2 linked regions of the Arabidopsis thaliana genome follow. The protein of the gene in region 1 interacts with the protein of each later gene in a pairwise test. Each region holds a gene or a part of one and is shown on either strand. Other genes may lie near its edges. The genes, in order: AT4G18670 and AT1G68185.

Region 1 (5,677 bases):
TTATGTGTATAAGACGACAACAGCAAAAGCTTAGGCATGCATCATGTCGGTAGTGGTACTCTACTACTACGTCTCACTCTCGTATACACATTAAGACACCTAACATGATCTCTTCTCTACTTAGACAATATTACAAAAAGATTATCTACTATACGTACCTCAAACTCACGTACTCACATCAACAAGTGGTTAAGTTTGACTTCCCGGCTCCGCCTCTTGCGGCGGTTGCATCCTCCCCACGTGCACACCCACGCCTTTCTCTAACTCTTCCCCACTCTTGCAACGACAAGTTTAATCTTTACTCGGCGAGCAAATACTATGCCGCTTGAACCGGCGTAACAACACCCACGATCTTCCTAAGTGTCTCAAACCTCAGCTTATCAGCTTACTAGTATCCAATCTATAAATGTAAACACTTTAACTTGTTATGATTTATCGTAAATCATTTATGAATCAAGAAAACCAAATTTATATGCGTCTACAACTCTACATGAACTGGAACATCTGATTGATAACACATTATAGTTCATATTTTCATATTTGCAAGCAAAGGTATAAGAAGAGGATGGAACAAAATATAAAAAATGAATTGAATCACTCGCCATAAAATAATATACTTGGCACATTATTTATGTTTTTTGCCAAACATTTGGCACAATTTATAAATTTATAAATTACAAAGACTGAAGCAAACCATTATTCCATATATACAAAAAAAACTTAGCATTTAAATTTATATTATAGACAATCGCAATAACATCAAGGGTAAATATAAACATTATTTCATATTCTGTCGATCCAATATATATAGAGAAATATAAAGGTATATTATTACTGTGGGTCATGTCGTTTTAAGACAATTCCGACATAAGAACAGTTAACTGTTGAACTTTATTTATGTTTTGGACTAGTGAGTAGTGACACCTCAAAAGAAAAAAATGAATACACGTGAGTTACGAGTTTCAACTAATTCATTTAACTTACTGTTTGACATGATAGCTGTAAAATACAAAGCACAGCAACATTTTCATTTTATGGGCTTTAACAACATTGATAATCCATGTCAAGCGAGAGATAACGATAATTGAGTTCATTTAGATTCAAATTTCTTTTAAATGAGAACTTTTAACAATGGAGCTCTTTTTTTTTGGCTTCGGTTAGATATTCTGATTCAAATTGTACACAAGCATCATTATGGATATGCTTATATTAAAAACCGTGTGATGGCCTATTAGTAACAAGTAGTATTTACCAAACTTTGATCAAAAAATTATTAGTAGATATAAATGTTTTCCAATGCAACTAATCGTTGTATTGGAATAGTTCATGATGCAAACAAAATTATTAACAAGTCTTTACCAAAATTTAATCCAAATGTATGGCTAATCACAAAAGGTTTCCAATATCAGCAAGTAATAATTAATAGTTGAAATGATGCTAAACAAAATTAACTACCTAATGCCTAGAGCAATGTAAATTGTCTCTAATCAAAACTTTAGTGTTGACCAAAATCATTAAACAATTATAATTTGTAACGTATATAATCAATCATGTGATTAGTTCAAAAAAGAAACCAAAAAGTCGATCATACATTTATATAATTGTTAGGTAATTCATGGACACACATCAATTAATTAACATTACACTTTTGACAGTGTAAAACAGACAGTGTTATAATAAGTGAAGAGTATATGAATAGGGCTGAGCTGTGCAAAGACCTGTCTCTCTCTCACTTATAATTCCCTCTTCACACATTACTTCTTCACTTATAGAGATTCTCACTTACATTTCCCATTTTACCCTTCTTCTTCCTTCAAATCCACTGATGTCTTGTTATGTGAAGTAATGAAGACGAAGATGATGATGAAGAACACGTCTCTGATCTTTGTTCTTCTTTTTATCACCTTCTTCTTCACAAGTATCTCTTACTCTCTTTCACTTACTTTCAATGGAGATCTCTCCGACAATGAAGTCCGGCTAATCACACAACGTCAACTTCTCTACTTCCGCGACGAGTTCGGCGACCGCGGCGAGAATGTCGACGTTGACCCATCTCTAGTCTTCGAGAATCCACGACTTCGAAATGCTTACATAGCTCTTCAAGCTTGGAAACAAGCTATTCTCTCTGATCCAAACAACTTCACAACAAACTGGATCGGTTCTGATGTTTGCAGTTACACCGGCGTTTACTGTGCTCCGGCTTTAGATAACCGCCGGATCCGTACCGTCGCCGGAATAGATCTAAACCACGCTGACATTGCTGGTTATCTACCTCAAGAGCTTGGTTTGTTAACAGATCTCGCTTTGTTTCATATTAATTCAAACCGGTTTTGTGGAACCGTACCGCATCGGTTTAACCGTCTTAAGCTTTTATTCGAGCTTGATCTCAGTAATAACCGGTTCGCCGGAATATTCCCTACTGTTGTCCTTCAGTTACCGTCGTTGAAGTTTCTGGATCTAAGGTTTAACGAATTCGAAGGACCTGTACCAAGAGAGCTCTTCAGCAAAGATCTTGATGCGATTTTTATCAACCATAACCGGTTCCGGTTTGAGTTACCGGATAATTTGGGAGATTCTCCGGTTTCCGTTATTGTTGTGGCGAATAATCATTTCCACGGTTGTATTCCGACGAGTTTGGGTGATATGAGGAATCTTGAAGAGATCATCTTCATGGAAAATGGGTTTAATTCTTGTTTACCGTCGCAGATCGGACGGTTGAAAAACGTAACGGTATTTGATTTCAGTTTTAACGAACTTGTTGGGTCGTTACCGGCGAGTATTGGCGGGATGGTTTCGATGGAGCAGTTAAATGTGGCGCATAATAGATTCTCTGGTAAGATTCCGGCGACTATTTGTCAGTTGCCGAGGTTGGAGAATTTCACTTTCAGTTATAATTTCTTCACTGGAGAGCCGCCGGTTTGTCTTGGGTTGCCTGGGTTTGATGATCGGCGGAATTGTTTGCCGGCGAGACCTGCGCAGAGATCACCAGGGCAATGTGCGGCTTTCTCTTCTCTTCCGCCGGTGGATTGTGGTTCCTTTGGATGTGGTCGTTCTACTCGGCCTCCAGTTGTTGTCCCATCACCGCCTACAACTCCGTCTCCGGGTGGTTCTCCTCCTTCGCCTTCTATTTCTCCTAGTCCACCGATCACTGTCCCGTCACCGCCGACAACTCCATCTCCTGGTGGTTCTCCTCCTTCACCGTCTATTGTCCCGTCTCCTCCTTCAACTACGCCATCTCCTGGTTCTCCTCCTACATCGCCGACGACACCTACTCCTGGTGGTTCTCCTCCATCATCGCCGACGACACCAACTCCTGGTGGTTCTCCTCCATCATCGCCGACGACACCTACTCCTGGTGGTTCTCCTCCATCATCGCCGACAACACCTTCTCCCGGTGGTTCTCCTCCTTCACCGTCTATTTCTCCTAGTCCTCCGATCACTGTCCCGTCTCCTCCGTCAACCCCAACATCTCCTGGTTCTCCTCCTTCGCCATCTAGTCCAACTCCGAGCTCTCCTATTCCTAGTCCTCCTACGCCATCAACTCCGCCAACTCCGATATCACCTGGTCAAAATTCACCGCCTATTATTCCTAGTCCACCGTTCACCGGCCCTTCTCCGCCGTCGTCACCTAGTCCTCCTTTACCGCCTGTTATTCCTAGTCCTCCCATTGTAGGCCCGACTCCATCGTCTCCTCCGCCGTCAACACCTACTCCGGTTTACTCTCCTCCCCCGCCGTCTACAGGGTACCCTCCTCCCCCGCCGTTTACAGGGTACTCTCCTCCATCCCCACCACCTCCTCCTCCCCCAACTTTCTCACCTTCCCCATCAATACCTCCACCACCGCCTCAGACATATTCTCCCTTCCCGCCACCGCCACCTCCTCCGCCGCAAACATACTATCCACCGCAACCATCTCCATCACAACCCCCGCAATCTCCAATTTACGGCACTCCCCCTCCTTCCCCTATACCTTACTTGCCGTCACCGCCTCAATTTGCATCCCCACCACCACCAGCCCCTTACTACTACAGCTCACCACAACCACCGCCGCCGCCACATTACTCATTACCACCACCAACCCCTACTTATCACTATATATCCCCACCACCTCCACCAACGCCAATACACTCCCCTCCGCCACAATCACATCCACCGTGCATAGAATACTCACCACCTCCACCTCCAACAGTCCATTATAATCCTCCACCACCACCATCACCGGCGCACTACAGTCCTCCGCCTTCACCACCAGTTTACTACTACAATTCACCTCCACCTCCACCGGCTGTCCACTACAGCCCACCACCTCCACCGGTAATACACCACAGCCAACCACCACCACCTCCAATCTACGAAGGGCCACTACCGCCGATTCCCGGAATATCATACGCATCTCCTCCGCCGCCTCCCTTCTATTGATTCTTTTTCAGAATGTTCTCAAAAGGGGCCCACCACTTATGCCAAAACCCGAAAACGAAACGGTGTCGTGTCGTGTCAATAACACTTATCCGATTGATAGAAACATGTAACACGGCGTCGTTTGACCATTTCTTGGAGAGAGATGTACGTGTTGGTGGTTGGGTATTCTCCGAAAGATTTATTTCGGTGAACAAAATTTTAAAAAGAAGAAAATTAGGCGTTTTTCAGGGAAAAGTTGTATAAATAGATTAATTAAAATATGGAGCAACCTCATATTTATGCTCCTTATATTTCTTATTAGTGTTCTTAAATAATTATCATTGTTTTTTTTATTAAACTTTATCATTGTTACTTCATTTTTTGTGTTTTTTCTTTCTGGTTATCTTTTTCTTCTCATATATGAAATTATCTTTTTTGTATTTCCTTATTTAATTACTGCAACTTTTTGCCTATGTTAGCGTCTTTTAGTTTTATATTTTTGATATATCAGAAACTCCAAATAAACTATATGTATATTATTTTTTTGTTCTCAATTATTCTGGTTCATGCACGAGACTTGTGTGTGAGAGACTGTGAGTGTGAAATCGGTATAAAGTAAGAAAAAGAAACATAATTGAATCCGGTCCAGCATGAAATGCATAGTTTTGGATGAAGCAAAGCCAAGTAGGGCCAATGTCACATGTGCCCAGCACCACCTGACTGACTACTTTGCTGTTGGAATTTATATCGGATCCTTGATTGCCGCTTTCATTTTTATTATTTTAATTTTTATATTATTGTAGTACTATATGTTTGTAATTTAGCTTTAGATTTGTACTTCGTAAATAATTAGGAAATTGTTTATACAAAAATATTCTTATATAAAATCGGTATTTGAAAGGAAAAATGGGTGAAATTTTGAATTTTGGCTTTTAAACTGTGTTGGGGATGTGAGAACTGAAAACTGTCCTTTTTTTTTTGGTAGTGATGTGAGAACTGTCCTTGCCTGCCGACAAAGTCACGATAGAGAAACATTATGCGTGAAATGTTTCATTTTTATTTACTTTACCATTCGTGTTGAAATCATAAGCTACTCTATTTTTCTTGTTTAAAGTTGTCCAGTAAATGATGTGACTCAGAGTGATACTGATTATCTAAATCCAAAAGGGAAATATCTAAACTTCCAAAACATAACTTTATGGTTAGTTTAGTTTTAACCAAAAAATTAAAATAAAAAATTGCAAAATAAAGCTTTAATTAATCGGAAAATTGGGCTGTA
Region 2 (4,965 bases), on another chromosome or scaffold:
CTCCCAACATTAAGTACAAATGTCCCTTGATCAACCATCATTTATATATGTTGAACGACTTGTTGTTAGTATATTTGATTAAGTGAATATTAACATTATTATTCTATCTAACGATGATTTATTGAACCATCTATGTAAGTTATTATGTGCATATGACCTTTGTACTACCACATCCACAACTTCATAAGATGTTGCATGGATTTTTTTTAACGAGCAATAATAAATTGTAAAATCTTATTTGGGTCTAATTAATTTCACTTCTGAGTCATACAATATGTACATGAACTAGTAAGTTGGAATGGGCCCATAATGGGCCGCTCAAATAACTCTCCTCCAAACCTAAAACCCTTTATCGTAATTGATTCTCCAAGCATCCTTTTGAATCTCTGATTCCTACAAGACAAATCACTAAAAGATTCGCAAGTTGACATAGCAGAGACCATACGACACCAACCTAAACACAGAAAAGAATAACTCATTCACTCGTATAGGCTTTGTCTTGCCTCTTCTTGAAAACATGTACACGTATTTAATTATAAATGCATATATAAAGATCCTACCGACGAAAAAATAAAAAGATTGAAAACATGACATCTGCTTATCGTCCAAGAGTTATTGTGAATGGAACAAGAAGAACAAGAACGTTCCATTACTTCTATTGTCGCCATTGTAGCCGTACCATTAGGCTAAGAAGCTTTGGTCTATATGGTCCCATATGTCCTTTCTGTTCTAGAGAGATCAATCTTCACGATGAGCTTGACATTATGAGGCCAAGCCGACCTTATTGGGATAGTGATACCGATTGGATCACTCTCCATCTTATCAACGAACCAAGAAGTAACCGGTTCAATCATGATGATCTAGTTTATAATACTGACGAGGAATTCGCTGATGTCATGCCTAGTGTACAAATCGGTCCACCACCAGCCTCGCAATCCGCCATCGAGGCTGTAAGGACGGTGATAATCACGGATGAAGATTTGGTGAAAGAGAAGGTTTGTGCGATATGCAAGGAGGAATTTGAAGTTGGAGAGGAAGGAAAAGAATTGAAATGCTTGCATTTGTACCATTCAAGCTGCATTGTGTCTTGGTTGAACATTCACAACACTTGTCCCATTTGTCGTTTTGAGGTTAACTTAGGTGTTTCCGAGAGTAACGTAGACGAAGGAGGGTCTTACAACATCGACAATGATCGATCAAATCGGTTTCGGACTCGGGTTTGTTCTTTGTGGCCTCTCCGAATGATGATTGATTGGGTACATAATCTCATAGGTAAGATTCCACCTCCCGATATAGCTTTCATGGCTTTTCTATTATGCTTATACGGGTTTTGACTATGATATTTAACTCTTAAAAATATATACAATTTCGCAGATATAAGAATAACAAACTCTTGACAAAAAAAAATTAAAGAATTGCAAACAAGAATGTATGAAACTAGGAATATTATTGACTACATATTAAGTGTATTATGACTTATGAGAGAGAGGAGAAGAAACACACATCAATAAGAAACGACAAAAAAAAACTACATAAAGAGACAAAGAGGGTGATCATGAAAGGCTAGAAGCGTGTTTATTTCATGAAACAAAACTTTGGCATTAACAAGACTATATTTGCATTAATTATCTTTTATTCATTTGTAAGTTGTAACAACATGTAAATAAAAAATCTTGGTAATAAGGTTAGTCCTCTACTCTACTAGCTAGGGTTCCATGATCTCTCATAGTCTCTGAAAACGCTTTGTCTCCCTTTCTTTGTTTCTTTCTCTCTCGTGATCATCGAACACAATTTACTTAGGTATGGTTTGAATAGCCTCACCAACCCTTTTTATTTGCCGGTTATCTTATTTTTGGCCTGATTTTGTAAAGCCGAGTTTGTGCCTTCTCGGTTTGGTTTACTATAACCTTCATGTAGAGCTTCCCATGGACTTCTCTACTAAAGACTTAGGATGAGTCTTGTTGTACCATCTTTTATTGTCATGCATTCAAAAATACCAACAAAATTCTACTAAAGTACAACAGATCTCAAATGACAAATACGCAATCAACTATGATGGTCACCCAACCCAATTAAACCAATCTGAAAAAAAAGTGTGATAACCAATGAAAACTCGGCCCACTAAACAGGCCCAACAAACAAATAATAAACCCAAGAGGTGCTTCTTAATCGCCGATGCCTCTCTTCATCAAAATTCAAAATCACTTTTGTCTTTTCAAAAATCACAGCAAAATAATATTCAAATTCAAAATCTGTCCAAATTCATCTAGGGTTTCTGATAAAACAGACGAAGAAGATCCAAATTCGCTAACAATGGTGAGAATTTTATGAATTCCCAATACCCCAATTTTTAAAACCCTAATTTTGTCTGTTGTGGGATTGTGTTGATGCCTGAGTTTTTCTGAATTTGTATTACTGATTGATGATCAGGGAGGTGAAGGAGAAGATCTAGAGCCACTTTTTGATTATCGTCGTGTTCAGCCAGCGAATTTCGTTTGTATCGATGGTGAGTTTCGATTATTTGATTTGGTCACTGAGCTCGACACTCGACAGTGATAAAGATGAATCCTTTATTATCGCTTGAATTTTTGTAGATGATGATGATGATGCCTCGGTGACGCCAATTCCGAAGAAAGCGAAAACTTCACAAACAGTAAGAATTGATTTTTATTGATTGGTTGTTGTCTCATTGAGCTCTTTGTGTTAACTTGATAGATACTTTTGGTATTGTGGGCTTGTAAAGAGTTTTGAATCAATGTCAGTGAAGGAACAATTCGATTATGTACTTCACAATTCATAGGTTGAATCTATCATCATTCCTTTTGGAACTTGAATCTTTTTATATAGGTTGAGAAGTTAGATGATGATGTGAAAGTGATTGAAGTTACGGGTGATGACGATTGGTTGCTTCCTCCACCAAAGGTTATCTTCGACAAAAGTAAAGACTCTGTTGAAGATTCAACTATTAAAGCATTGAGGTAACTTTTGTATGTCTTTGAGTATTTCTCATCTCTAAGCTTCCCATGTTGCTGTTAGAGGCTATGGTAGTGTTATTTGCTATCCGGAAAGAGTCCCAGTGTTACAATTTGATTATAAATGAAATATGTAACGTAGGTCGAAGAAGATGGAGCTCATGTCATTTACAAAAACTGTAGGAGATGTGATGCAGGAAGTTGAGGAGTCTGCTAAAAGGGAAGTTGAAGAATCTCGCAATCCATCTTCAGAGACTGCTGCTCAGTTACCATCAGAGCCTACGAATGACAGGGCCAAGATTGTTATTACAATACAGGACAAAGATGGACAGAAGACACTCCGGGTGTTTGCGGTAAGTTTTTTCACTGCTTGCCACTTACTATCCAACCTTCCATCGACAATAAGCTTACTATCCAAACTTTTTCTAGCTAGATACTAGATATTTAGTAGAGATAAGAATTAGTTGTTATGTCACCTTCGCTACTATCTAGATAGCTAGATATTTCGAGCTTTCTAGGAAAGCAAGAGTATAAATACAGGGATTAAAGAAATCATTGAATGGGGTCGAGTATTTGAGACGTGTATTAGTTGATGGATCTTTAAACTATTCTTTGAGTTCATCTAATAAACTAGAGAACGAGTTCATGTTCTTATCAATGTATCATCACCACATAGCATTTACACACAGAATACATATTGCTTGCTCTCTGTCATACAATGAGCCGCTCATTAATAGATATGCATATTCTGTTAAAGCTTGTAAAATATGAGAATGTTGATTTGGTATTTACCATTTTCTTGTAGGACGAGAAATTTGAGAGGGTTATCAAACTGTATACAGATAAAGCTAAGCTTGACCCGCAAAATCTTGTATTTATTTTTGACGGTGATAAGATTGATCCATCAACCACTCCTTCTGAACTTGGCATGGAGGATCATGATATGATTGAAGTGCACACCAAAAAAACTTGACAAATAGGTAACTTATGAAGTCCTCCACATCTTTCTTCTTGCTCTTATTGTGATATGATGATAACTCATTATCTTCGATTGAATTCAAGTCAGGCGCTAATCGGAATCTGGAATGTCAAATCTGTTCCATCTTTTGCGAAAAACCAGAGTTTTGTACATCAACATGGGCATGGGAAGGGATCTCTCTGCTAACATCTGGTGTTTGTATCTGTGACCTTTCTCATTTTATCGGAATTTTGTTTCTTTCTTTCTTTCACTCTTTCTGTCACTCTTTATTAGGCGTGTATAATATATAAGGTAAACCAAACCATTTTGATTTTAACTAATCCTATTGAATCCAATCTAAAAATCTAACTAAACTTTTGTTTGGTTTTAATCGTTATGCTTTCTCTATCTCTTGAGAAACATAAATATATATCTCACTAATCTAAGACAAAACTAAAACTATTGTATGTATAATCAGTATTGCTTTTTACTAACTGACAAAAACTGGAATCAATGGTAAATCGGTTAAATTCGGTTTAGTGTACTTTTTCCTTTGTTTCTTAGTAAATGTCGTTTTACACTGATATTTTTTATATTCAAATATAGTCTCATGACTCTAATATTTCTTGTTTTGTAACATTAGCTTTTAATATAATCTTGATAGAAAAGAAAACATCACATTAGTCATTAATAAAATTCTTAAAAATGTAAAATTATAAGAATTAACACATTCAAGTACTATTTATGTGTTTTAGTTCATGTGAAAAATAATAAAACCAATTAACGAACTAACCAAGTCGGATAATTGTAGTTTTTGTTTGGTCCGGAGTTAGCTACGACATGTGGCATACAATAATTGGTTAGGAAAAGCTAAGCTTTAAGAGTTAGAGATGATGGGTCGTGAAAGAAGAAGCTGTCACAGTGGCACATACGTCCGTGGCTTCCCCATATCTCACGTGCATACGGATAACGTAATCACCATTTTTTCTAAGTCCCCACCCAAATATCTACGTGGCTTTGCCACGTCATCCTAAC

The links.
Region 2: the proteins of AT4G18670 (region 1) and AT1G68185 interact in a two-hybrid assay, tested with the Arabidopsis thaliana proteins (one study listed by BioGRID).

What each region holds. Positions count from the first base shown.
Region 1 is NC_003075.7:10,274,660-10,280,336, reverse strand, and holds AT4G18670 (Leucine-rich repeat (LRR) family protein), read left to right. Parts: upstream 1-1,542; 5' UTR 1,543-1,845; coding exon 1,846-4,419; 3' UTR 4,420-4,875; downstream 4,876-5,677. UniProt on the Arabidopsis thaliana protein: Modulates cell morphogenesis by regulating cell wall formation and assembly, and/or growth polarization.
Region 2 is NC_003070.9:25,554,229-25,559,193, forward strand, and holds AT1G68185 (Ubiquitin-like superfamily protein), read left to right. Parts: upstream 1-2,154; 5' UTR 2,155-2,175; coding exon 2,176-2,316; intron 2,317-2,430; coding exon 2,431-2,506; intron 2,507-2,594; coding exon 2,595-2,653; intron 2,654-2,847; coding exon 2,848-2,978; intron 2,979-3,114; coding exon 3,115-3,325; intron 3,326-3,777; coding exon 3,778-3,945; 3' UTR 3,946-3,952; exon of another isoform or gene 3,953-4,038; 3' UTR 4,039-4,305; downstream 4,306-4,965. Other genes in the region: UMAMIT23 (nodulin MtN21 /EamA-like transporter family protein), read left to right, coding at 1-30; AT1G68180 (RING/U-box superfamily protein), read left to right, coding at 588-1,272, 1,375-1,397.